Nothobranchius furzeri: one gene and its partners. The protein of the gene in region 1 interacts with the protein of each later gene in a biochemical or structural test. Links are inferred from orthologs where the notes say so. Each region holds a gene or a part of one and is shown in the gene's direction. Other genes may lie near its edges. The genes, in order: ppp1cc, neurabin-2 and tlx1.

Region 1 (4,260 bases):
TCACCTTCGGCTCAGAGGTGGTTGCCAAGTTTCTGCACAAGCATGACCTCGATCTGATCTGCCGTGCTCATCAGGTAACTGTGCTCACACGGTGGTGCATGGACATCGCGTCCTGTGCTGGCAAACTGTAGACTAAAGAGGAGGCCAGGTGCTCTTCTTACATTATGATCCCGGTGGGAAAGGAGGATTGTTCCTCTCAAATGGAGGGAATAGAAGCTAGCTCTCATTCACTCCTCCATGAAGGTCCTGATAATGTAAACAGAGAAGCATAAAACAGGATGTTAGCTGCAGACTGAAACAGATCCTGTTCAACTCATCCGCTGATTAATGTGTTTATGTAAGAACACACATAGTAGTGTTGTGTTTAGATCAGTCATATGGCTGAAGCCTGCACCTACATGCATGCCTCTCTGTCAGCCAGATGCTAAATGGTGGAGAGTTTTAATATTTCTGTGGGTTTTTTTTTAGTATTTGGTCTTTTTTCTTGTTTCAGATCATTCAGAGCGTGGACTCAGTTAAAAGACAGGAGGGTTTTATGTGAAAATAAGACTTATTTTCTTCTTCAGCATCTAAAATCAAGAACCGTTTCAGAAGTTTATCGTTTGTAATATTAGTATTTGAATACTCAAGCCACATCACATAAAGCAGACCTGCCCAACCTGTACGCATTTTGCGTAGCCAATTTGGCATCTATCTACGCTGGTACGACTCACCCCTCTAAACTACGCAAAAAGCTAACGATACGTGAGTTGAGTTCTGTGGCAAACATACGCGTGTGGTACTCATGTCTGACAACACGACTCAGCGGCGTGGGGAAGTTTAAGCCAATCATCGTAGAACAGCAGAGAAAAGCTATCCTGCCTAACCAATAGCGTAACAGCCCCGCCCTGCTTCGTACTGACCGCTGCTCCTCTCTCCCTCCGGTTCGCCACTCGCTGCAGCTCTGGTAAGGTAAACTGTGTTTGTGTGTGTGGGCCTGCGTGTGTGTGTGTGTGTCAGCGGGCCGGACTGGCTGTCTTTTGGTGAATGCGAACGCGTAACGTTACTTTCACTGTTGAATATTCAAGCCAACATCCGAGTGAAAAAAAACTAAAAATGTGCGACTAAAGAGAAAGCAGCAGGTGTGTGTGTGTGTGTGTGTGTGTGTGTGTGTGTGTGTGTGTGTGTGTGTGTGTGTGTGTGTGTGTGTGTGTGTGTGTGTGTGTGTGTGTTTTTGCCTTTATCCATGAAGATAGATTTAGCCTGTATTATAAGGAGGAATGTGATTATTTATACAGTTTAAACTTGCAGCCATTATTATTTTTCACAGCTCGTTTTGCAACTCATGCTATGGCAGATGAGGGAAAAGCAGGCAGGGAGGGGTTGGTTAGCAGACCTGCCAAAAAGAAGAGGGTCCAAGTGTCTCAGAAGTTTTTGTCCAAATATCAACACCTCACCGTGCATTTAGCACAATCTGCAGTTATGATGTGGACATGAGCCACCAGGGAGCTGCAGGTAATTAGTAAATTAGCCCTGGTGATGTGTGCATATGTGCTTTAAGCCAATTTAATATTGCAATTAACAAAATAAATAATTACCATTAATATAATTGTTTTTTTAATTGATTTGTATTGAAATAATTTAATGCAAGTAACTTGTATAAGCACAAATATTATATAAGGAAACTTTAGAGTTTTACTGTTTAATATTAAAATACATGACACTTTGGAGTCAGGTCAGACTGTAAAAATGTCTATAACCTTACTCGTCAAAATAAGAACTATGAACAACAACTGCTAACACTAGCATACAAAGTCCGAGACGGTACGGCTCCCATCTACCTGAATCCTCTTGCAAAGGCTTACGTCTCGGCCCGGCCGCTCCGGTCATCACAGGATCGTCGGCTAGCAGTGCCTACACCACGCTCAGGACAATCCAGACTCTTCTCATGCATCGTTCCACAAATGTGGAATGACCTTCCAAGCACTACCAGAACAGGGGCTTCCTTTTCAATTTTCAAGAAACTCCTGAAGACCCTGCTCTTCAGAGAGCATCTTCTAAACTAACACCCTCCCTGCACCCGCCCCCCCTCTCTACTGTCCACTCCTTGTTCCCTCCTCTCCATGACTGATGTCAAGTTGTTGTTGTTGTTGTTGTTAGCCTCAAGGGCAACATGCCGATTATCACTTGTAAGTCGCTTTGGACAAAAGCGTCTGCTAAATACATAAACATAATTGTGCGCGCGTGTGTGTGTGTGTGTGTGTGTGTGTGTGTGTGTGTGTGTGTGTGTGTGTGTGTGTGTGTGTGTGTGTGTGTGTGTGTGTGTGTGTGTGTAAAAGTTTTCATCCAGTGAATGGGGAGATTACAGCGTGAAAAGCAGCGGAGTTGCAAAAGTCTGCAAAAAAACCGCCGCACAAGTGGTACTCAAAAATTTTGACACGGTTGGCAGGTCTGCATAAAGTACAAGCCCATTAATGTTGTCTGGCCTGAATTGGTTTTCTAGGAAGAACTCTTTAAACCATGAGAAATATCATAAAGCTTTGTAATGTTTAAGCTGAGGCTCTTTGAGGAGTGACATCGTCATTTTTTGTTTTATCGTGGCAGGTTGTTGAAGACGGCTACGAGTTTTTTGCAAAGAGGCAGCTCGTCACTTTGTTCTCAGCACCAAACTACTGTGGGGAGTTTGACAACGCCGGTGCCATGATGAGCGTGGATGAGACACTCATGTGCTCCTTTCAGGTAGTGTGTCTGTGTTTGTAAGTATAGGAGGTTTGTTCTCATTTGGCTCTCTGGCTTACAGGAGGAGCCTACAGGAGAAACGCCGTATGGTAATTCAGTCACATCACATTTGGTTTGAACTCATTAAAATTGAAGCTAAATATATTCTTGAAGCTAAAGACTGGAATATTATTTAGTGGCAGGTCTACCTTTACACAAATGCTTGAAAAAAGTCTGATAAGAGACACGTTTAACAACATTACTCAGTTCCTGGGTTATACCTGAACATAACAGGTTTGACTTTTTCTGTTCAGATTTTGAAACCAGCTGAGAAGAAGAAACCCAACGGCAGCCGTCCTGTGACTCCCCCCCGCAACATGGTCACCAAGCAGGCTAAGAAGTGAGGGGCTGAGTGGAGGACTAGTTGCCAGGGTCTGCTTTTGTCTTCTGCATTTGAGGAATTGGTTATTCTACACGCTGCCAATATTGAAAAAGTGTCCACTCCTACTAGATGAAAGCAAAATATTTATTGTTTTTTTTTTCCACAGGGGCAAAATCAATATGTCACCATGAAAATCCTCAGGTGTTTTGCACTCCATTTTGCAGCTAGTCTTTACCACACATGACTGTTCAATCAGGAAAAGCATAATAAATACAGCTACTTATGCACAGGAATGCCTTGTTTGAAGCTGTGCACAACTTTTCAATTTGTTTCGTGTGTCATTCCTTTGTTTATTCTCCCTCACAGTTTGTAATTGTTAACGGATATAAAAGTATGAAGAAAGTCGGACGTCGGTTTTCTTCAGCGAACTTTATTGACATTTAATTTTCTCAGTGTTCTAGAGAATTGACTACACACTTATCACATTTTTAAACGAGTCTTGTGCTCAATTAAATGAATAAACAAGAACTCTTGTAATGTCTAAACCTTTCTAATAAACTTTAAGTGTATTTTTGGGGGGAGCTGGTGTCTGGATGTCTCTTTCTGCAACTTTTTTTCCCCTCAACATCAAACAGCCCTGAAACCTTAATCTAAAAGGATGTTTCCATGAACGTCCACAAGAGGGAGATCACCGGGGATACAAAGCACGTTACTGGTCGGTCGTTTTGTTACTGGTTGTAATGGTTTTGAGTCCAAAACATTTTATTCGTTTTTCTTTTTTGTATGGTATCCTGTGTGTGTCGAGCTCAATTATAGCAGACTGGAGGCCTTCCTGTTGGGTAACGGGGCTGAACGTTGTTTGTCCTTATTAGGAAACGTTGTTTTGGTAACGTCTGACGTCAGAGGAGTCATAAGACCGTAGTCGGTGCGGAGCGTGGCGCGAGGCCACAGCAACCTCAGGCGCCAGCATGGCCGCTCACCACCCGCCGTTACAGCTAAAGCGTGGTGTTTTCTTTGGGTTCCTGTTTCACTAGAAGAGCCGGTGTTCGAGTGTCCGGTCAGCCCGGCTCCATACCGCGCTGCCCGCCAACACTACGTGGTGGTTCCGGCGACGCGGCTAGCTTGGCCGGCTGGTTTGTGCGGAGTTGGTGCGTAGGGGATGTTGTCGGTGCTGTCCTACG
Region 2 (3,917 bases), on another chromosome or scaffold:
TGTAGAAATGAAGTAAAAAATGACATCCTGTGGAAACATTTGGTTACTGCAACCACTTAAACAACTCTGGAGCTTTTTGCCGGCTGCCTTCAAATTACAAGCTGCAGCATTAGCTCGCAGGAGACATGGCAGCCCCACACACTGATGGTAAACAGTAGTTACGTCCCTCCTTCCATTGTTCTGAAAAGAGAAAAACTGACAAGCCTCGCAAAATGACTGAAACATTAGACTCTTATGGGGTTTTCTCACAGTAAAATTCTCACTATATTCTTACATAATGCACCTTTAACTCATTAAATCAATCAAATCAACTTTATTTATATAGCACTTTTCATACAAAAAAATGCAACTCAAAGTGCTTTACAGATTAAAATGGCCCCATAGATCCCACATTCCCATCCCAGGCCCCCTCCCCAAGTATAAAACAATTAAAAATTACAGTTCCCTCCCGCACCCAACTTCCAAAAGTGGACATACAATCACCCGCACACTCGTCCATGCACACACACACACACGCACACACACACTCGTGAACACCAGAGTAAACTGCTGGCCATTTCCTGATCAGAAAAGCCTCATGCTGCCAGCGTTTTTGAGTGTTTTTACTGTTTTTTGAAGAGTCACAGAACGTGGTGCTCTACCATGATGTCAGCGCCAAAACTACCAAAACAAAGAGTAGACTCACTTCTAACATCAGGAATAATCCTCGTGTTTTTAGCATTATTCGTTCTTTCATTCTCTTTTGTCGAATTGTGATCGGCAGAAGCTTTTCCGGTTCGCGCCTCACTTTTTTTACAGCAGCGGCCCAAAACGATCTCCTAACATGGATTTTCTGCTTCATGTGGCGTGAGACGTATGCAGATGAAGATCAGCTTTAGAGAAGTGATGTTTGTTCTCGCGGTGCGGGGGCTCGTTCCAACGCCCGCCCAGTACAAAAATGCAAGTGACGACTTTAGTCGTCAATGGCAGTTAATGAGTTAATAATGTATGACACAACACAACACCTTTTTTCTCATGAAAAGCACAGCAAAAAATAAAATTGTACATTTTTAGAATTTCTTTTTCTAGCTTTTTCACAACAGTTAAAACTTCCCTGCAGTTGGTTTTCTTTTAAGTATTATGTACTTTAAAGGGGGAAAATATTGTTTACTAGTTCATAACTGATAAACCAGTTTTCTTACGCAGATAAAGTCCAAATATGGATTCATGGTTTCCTCCCAGGGATGACATGTTCATTGCATGACCAAAATAACTGCTGGCCTGGTCTCCCTCTTTGGTTTCAGATAGCGACGGTCTGGGCATCAGCATCATTGGGATGGGTGCAGGGGCCGACATGGGCCTGGAGAAGCTGGGCATCTTTGTTAAGACCGTTACAGAAGGAGGGGCAGCTCACAGAGATGGGCGGTGAGTTCATGTTTCAGTGCTTGACCTTTGATCTGTGCAGAAACATCCCAGTGAAGCTCTGAGAAACCTATCCTGAAGCAGGAGATTTAGTTGAGGAGGCTTATTTAACTCCCAGACTCTGTTGGTTCTGCTGCAGAAATAAAAGTCTTGCGAATGCCTTTTGGCGTGTGTGGGTTGAGCTGCATGATCTGTGTTGATTGCTTCTCTTCTCCAGGATCCAGGTGAACGACCTTATTGTGGAGGTGGACGGGACGAGTTTGGTGGGAGTCACGCAGAGCTTCGCTGCCTCCGTACTCAGGAACACCTCAGGAACTGTCAAGTAAGAGTCGATTAAGACAAATTCATCCTGCTTTGACCCAGTTCTACATCAAGACAACCATCAAGTCAGTTTTTTTCATTTGGCCATGTTCTACGTTCTTACAACCGCCATTACTCAGCGCGGTTTGACATCTAGCATTCTTCTTTAAAACGATGGCTTCCTTTTGATATACATCCACCCACAGTCTGCCTTCTACCACATCCTGCCCATTCAGTTAACCAGACTTTAGATTTACGTATGCTGCAGCTCCCACAGGGTCATGATTATAACCTTCTGCATTTAGGAGCTCCTGAAAAAGGCCCAAAGAGGAGAAGCCACAGAAAAGCCTGTTATCAGCAGCAGATACAGAAGAATCAGTCGAAAAAGCCAGCAGGCTATTTGTAGATGTTGCTCTCTGGAGTTTTGGTGGCTCCAGCAGTTGCTGTGAGCTCCTTTTGCTGTCCGAGCTCATTCATAATTCAGAGTTTTGGTGTCCAGAGCTATTGGGATCATTCTTTAGTGTTGGGTGAGTTATGAAGATCGGAGACCTCTTAGCTCATACATTATGGATCTGCTGCAGCGGCGACGGAGGCCATCAGAGCTCAGAACTATTCATAAACACCAGGAAGACAAATAGCCTGGAACAGGAAGTGTGTTTGTGAGCATTTAATTACCCGTAAAAGGAAAAGCGAGAGACGGAGACGGCTTTTTAATGAAAATCTGTTGATCAGCGATGATTCAGTGAAAATTACATGGCTAGCTTTAATTTGAAAGGGATTTTTAAGCTTCGATGAGGAAGCATATCAAATCCATGATGAGCTGTAAGAGAGGCAGGATTTGGTTTTAAAGAAGTGAAGAGGATGTTAGTTCAAAAGCAAACAGGAAGCTATTTCCTCTCATTACCTTGCATTAATACCTTTAACTACACCATCTCAAGAAGCTGCTTATCATTTATGGAGAACACTGAAGTCCTGCACACTGTGCACCAAGGGCCCTGACTGGTGATCATTTAATGACAGGTTTGTGATTGGCCGAGAGAAGCCAGGCGAGCAGAGCGAAGTGGCTCAGCTCATCCAGCAGACACTGGAGCAGGAGCGCTGGCAGAGGGAGATGATGGAACAGCGCTACAACCAGTACATGGACGAACAAGAGGTCAGTCGGGGCCGTGCGCCACCTGTAGCTGCCATGTTGATTTCAGATCTGGACCGCCAAGGCTTTTCTGGCCCAGGAGCTTGTGTGCAGTCATGTCATACCTCCATGACTCCAGCAGAAGTGTGTTAAATTAGCTCAGTTAGCATCTTTCCGCAGGAATTCACAGGCTTTCTGCATTTGTTGGAAAGAGTTTTTTTAAACGCTTTTTTAAGTCTTGCATTTGCAGACATCTTATGTTGTTCATGTAGGCTGAGCCATTCCCACATGCATTTAAGTATTTAGTGTCATTTTCTGAAATTGGTGCACAATACTAATAGACCTTATCTCATGCACGCTCTCCCACTTTAGCTGGAGTCAGTGCAACATCACTGGACAGCTGCAGTGATGGGTATGAGAACACTGGCACTCCTGTTCTGAAACTGATCTGAGAATTAGAGATTGCGCTGCTGGAAACAGTGACAAAGCTGAAGGTGAAGAGCAGAAAGTGAGAGTGTGATGCTCGTTAACACACCTTCCTCTTTTACCCGTCAGACTTCCTGATTTATATAAAATCCTTTAGATTTAGTTGTTGCAGCATAAACACATTCTTACACAAAACTGAGATATAAATAAAACAAAAGTAGCTTTAAATTTAATTTTAGCCTTTACAACTGGTTTAGAAAACAAAATACTACCTTTAAAAAAGAAAATAGGGCTTTTATTTGACTTTCTCATTGTCTCCTACTTCCTGTTAGGATTAAGACTTTTATCTCACTACAGTAGCAGACAATAAAAGTGTCCAGCATGCACTGTCTGCATCATCAGACTGTAAGCTGAGCTCAGAAATGGGGCCAGATCTGGATGACTCAGATTTTGTGCTCTCGCCTTCTTTGCTCTGTCAGATGTTTTTTTCTCTACTCAAAATCCTACTGAGGTTTTCTCCTGATACCGGAGTGGAAAACGTCCCTACTCTCGCACTGTTAGAGTGGGCGGTTCTTGAAAAGATGTACATTGTTGGAATGCAAAGAAAAAATAAGAAGTGGTCGTTTGAGTTTTGCACCATCTAGTGGACATTTAGTGTAGT
Region 3 (4,260 bases), on another chromosome or scaffold:
AGCAACTTGCATGTTTTCCACATTATAGACACACGTTTGGGTTTACCGGCTGAGATTTATTCACAAATGAAAGAAAAACATTTAAAATCACGTTAGATGACTCTGATTTGGGTTTTACATAGAACTGGTCCCAGTATAAATATTAGCTCATCAGTCGGGTCAGCAACTCAATCTACGGAAAACCACTCCGGTTTTCCCTTTAAGGTGCATCTGTCTGTAATATTAATATTTATTTCTAACGGTGAGCTTCAGCCCTGCAGCAGCAGGATGAATGAGTGAACGTTTCTGACTCATGTCTGGGATTCTTTCCCAAACCCAGAAGGACTCTTAGACTCTGAAATGAAACCGTTCGCCCAGTTTTTGAAGACGAAACACAGCCTGTGACGTCACAGGTTCCTGCCAATTAACCGTCAGATAAAATGATAAGTTACAACTAATCAATTCATCTGTTTAAACTTAAATTAGCTTATAAATCAATTAAAACAGGTGAGTTTTTTTTATGTTATCTCAATAATATTCAGATTTAAACTGTGCGCGAGACGCATTGTTGTTGCTGGTCGGGCAGCCAATGAGAACTTTCCCAAACATCAAATATTAATATCCAAGTAGCCGTTAAGTAATTAGGTCCCCGTGGACTTCCGGTGGAGAAAATCAATGAGAAACATGGTTTAATTTATCATTTAATTGTTGGAGGTTTGAGGCGCAGAAAAGCGCAACAGCGCTGCGGGTTGTTTATCATCTGCGCCTAATGAAAGATTCTGTTTTTATTGGAGCTTTAACCCGCTGATGGGAAAAAAGCATCCATCATTTCCGCTTCCGTTTCCCAATCGCAGCAAAGTGCATCTAATTGTAGTTATTACTTATTAAACCCGCTTCATCCCTGCACATGAATTATTAACCACCTCACATCCTCCTCTAATAACAATCATTTTTCATTCATTCATTCACTCATGTGGCAGAATCAAACCAACACCTTCTATGGTTTAGCTTCAGACGATGCTGCCAACAAATTCATTCATTCATGTTTTTATTTGGATTCAACATTTTAGAACATCCTTAATTCGTGACTTTTTTTTTGTTAGTCAGCTAAAACAGCTGATAGTACAAAAACAATAAAATGCCGTCAGAAAATCATCGATCTGCGAATAAAGATTTATTTTGTTTTTTCAAACAAGTAGAATTAGACAAAGTTTCTGCGTTTGTGTGTGTTTGTGTGTGTGTGTGTGTGTGTGTGTGTGTGTGTGTGTGTGTGTGTGTGTGTGTGTGTGTGTGTGTGTGTGTGTGCGCGCGCGCGCGCGCGCGCGCTCCCCGCAGCCAGTCAATGAGCAGATAAATCTTGTGGTTCCTCTAGTTCCGGTACCGCTGCTCTCTGGGGTGTTCCGGACCGTCCCGGTGGAACAGTCCGGTTCTCACGCACAGGCCTGAATTCGGGTTTTAATCTCGCGCTGTCTATTTGGCACTTTGATTGATGTTCCCGCACAGCGGAGGGGCGGGCAGGCCAGCACCCGACTCCCCACCCTACCGCTTGTGCGCACAGAAAGACGCGCACACGTGCGTGTAATCGCTAGACAGCGATCGGAGGTCGAGCAGAGGAAGCGCAGACGGGAGAGTCGAGGGAGCGGCGCGCGGAGCATCCTCTGTTCCTCGAGCAGGAGCGGGGGGCTCACGACGGCCATGGACCACATGGGGCTCCTGGGGGCGCACCTGCAGCAGCAGCACACGCACGCGGAGCCCATCAGCTTTGGCATTGATCAGATCCTCAGCAGCGTGGAGCAGAGCTGCATGCTGGGCGCTAGGATGCAAGAGCCGGACTACGGATACCCGGCCTATGGAGCGGGCGGCGCGAGCGCCGGCTTCGCCTGCGGAAATGGAGGATATAATGGCACGGGCGGCGCGTGTGGGGTCGCCGCGCTTGGAGGGGCTTATCACATGAACATGAGCGTGAACATGAACGCAAATAATGTGAACTCTGCTGGGGTGATCCGTGTCCCCGCACACCGGCCGCTCAATGGTGGGAGCTCGTCTGTGGCGCCGAGCGCGCTCACCTTCCCGTGGATGGAGAGCAACCGCCGGTACACCAAGGACAGGTTCACCGGTACGGAGCCAGAAATAATAATAATAATAATAATAATAATGATAATAATAATAATAATAATAATAATAATAATAATAACACGCACACGAGCAACTAAATTAGCTGCAGTAACAAACAAATAATAAATAATAAATATACAGCTAACGAATAAAATAAAAATAGTTTATTGTTTAAAAGAACAATAATATTATTAATGATAATTCAAATAAATGAACGAAAATAATACATTTCTCTTGCAATAATAAAAGAGGAATACGTTTATGATTAATTTTATCGAAACGTAATAATAAATTGAAAAAACCCAATATAGTTTTAATGTAAAAGCAAATTTCTGCTTAAGAGTCTTTTGAAAATTAAATTAGTAAAATTAATTTAAATTTTATTTCTCCCAATTTTCAGCAGTCTAAAAGTTTCTTATAATTATTAAATTATTCATTGTATTTCTTATTTATTACTCTGTTATCGCACTGCAAGAAACAGTATGAATTAGGCTGAAGCAGGTGTGTTAATAATAATCATTATATTATTATTATTATTATTATTATTATTATTATTATTATTATTATTATTATTATTATTATTATTATTATTATCATTGTTATTAACATTGTTATTATTGCTGATTAGTTATTGATGAATTCTAATAATTGCTCAGAAGTGCGTCACTATTTAATGTTTAAAAAATACCTCCAGAAAACCAAATGAGTGGTGAATTTAACTCTTCAGATTAAATTTTTGTTTGAAACCTGCAGGCAGAATTTGGTTTTTAGAGTTTATTTTTTAATCGTACTGGTGTAAAATTTTTAAAGTAAAATGTGTAAAAATATGTTGTTGAATTTACCTCAAGATTCAGATGTTAAAACACTTTAAAGTCTTTTTATTTCTCTGGTGTTTTATTATAAGGAGGATCTAAAAATCTAAACAGAGTAATGTGGCAAAATTTATTTTATACCATCAGTTTATCTGTGTGTGTGTGTGTGTGTGTGTGTGTGTGTGTGTGTGTGTGTGTGTGTGTGTGTGTGTGTGTGTGTGAGAGAGAGAGAGAGAGAGAGAGAGAGAGAGAGAGAGAGAGAGAGAGAGAGAGAGAGAGAGAGAGAGAGAGAGAGAGAGAGAGAGAGAGAGAGAGAGAGAGAGAGAGAGAGAGAGAGAGAGAGAACAGGAGCTGTATTTAGAGGTGGAGCTTTGTAAATGTTACTTCCGGGTCTCCGGTTGTGTGGAGTGAATGAAAGAATGAATTACTTGAAATGAAAATAAGATCCAGACTATGTTGCTGCTTCTTTCTGTTTTTCTGTGACGCTGCTGCTGCTTTTCTGTCTGACTCCTTGCTGCTTTTCTTCCCGTTCTGTCCCGTTCTGTCCCGGATGTGCAGTGTCCCTCTCACCCCTCACTGTTACACGCCGTGTAGGTCATCCGTACCAGAACCGGACGCCGCCGAAGAAGAAGAAGCCGCGGACGTCGTTCAGCCGCCTGCAGATCTGTGAGCTGGAGAAGCGTTTCCACCGACAGAAGTACCTGGCCTCCGCGGAGCGCGCCGCTCTGGCCAAAGCCCTGAAGATGACCGATGCGCAGGTCAAGACCTGGTTCCAGAACCGACGGACCAAATGGAGGTGATTCGGTTCTTCTGTAGTACCACCAGAACAAAATGCTGATGAAGGTTCTCAGTCATCCAGGTCTGCTAATCCAAAGGATTCCACTGAAGGCAACTGGACTTTGGTTTCTTGACGTTGCGCTTCTCATCTGAGGAGCTAGAGCATTCAGTGGAACCATTTGGATTACCACCAGAACCAATCATGGATCACACATGAAGGGAAAGAGCTGTTAAAAACTTTGTTTGGTCCCTTTTCAGATCTAAGGTCATCAGTCGATTAATCAGTCAATCAACCAATTACATTTGAATCTGAAAGGATCAAAGCGGACAAGAGCTCATTTATATCATTGGCCTCTAGCACGTGACCACTGTCTTGCGTCAGCGGGCAGGTCCCTTAGAAAATGTTCAGGATGTTTGATATTTATTATTATTATTATTATTATTATTATTATTATTATTGGTGTTGTTATATATTAATAAACATCATCATAGCAGAATTTTAGATTAGAATATTTAGAGTTAATCAGATTGTCTTTTTGTCTTTTTTTTGAACATGCGTACATACACATAGTAATAC

Evidence for each region.
Region 2: the proteins of ppp1cc (region 1) and neurabin-2 form a complex in vitro, tested with the Homo sapiens proteins (2 studies listed by BioGRID). The link is inferred for Nothobranchius furzeri from reciprocal best matches to the Homo sapiens genes PPP1CC and PPP1R9B.
Region 3: the proteins of ppp1cc (region 1) and tlx1 form a complex in vitro, tested with the Homo sapiens proteins (2 studies listed by BioGRID). The link is inferred for Nothobranchius furzeri from reciprocal best matches to the Homo sapiens genes PPP1CC and TLX1.

Annotation. Positions count from the first base shown.
Region 1 is NC_091757.1:28,388,204-28,392,463, reverse strand, and holds the end of ppp1cc (serine/threonine-protein phosphatase PP1-gamma catalytic subunit A), read left to right. Parts: coding exon 1-74; intron 75-2,583; coding exon 2,584-2,718; intron 2,719-3,011; coding exon 3,012-3,101; 3' UTR 3,102-3,660; downstream 3,661-4,260. Other genes in the region: pptc7a (protein phosphatase PTC7 homolog), read left to right, coding at 4,239-4,260. UniProt on the Homo sapiens protein: Protein phosphatase that associates with over 200 regulatory proteins to form highly specific holoenzymes which dephosphorylate hundreds of biological targets.
Region 2 is NC_091756.1:47,290,901-47,294,817, reverse strand, and holds part of neurabin-2, read left to right. Parts: intron 1-1,283; coding exon 1,284-1,404; intron 1,405-1,618; coding exon 1,619-1,723; intron 1,724-2,721; coding exon 2,722-2,854; intron 2,855-3,917. UniProt on the Homo sapiens protein: Seems to act as a scaffold protein in multiple signaling pathways. Modulates excitatory synaptic transmission and dendritic spine morphology. Binds to actin filaments (F-actin) and shows cross-linking activity. Binds along the sides of the F-actin.
Region 3 is NC_091752.1:8,277,140-8,281,399, reverse strand, and holds the start of tlx1 (T-cell leukemia homeobox protein 1), read left to right. Parts: upstream 1-1,383; 5' UTR 1,384-1,674; coding exon 1,675-2,095; intron 2,096-3,464; coding exon 3,465-3,702; intron 3,703-4,260. UniProt on the Homo sapiens protein: Controls the genesis of the spleen. Binds to the DNA sequence 5'-GGCGGTAAGTGG-3'.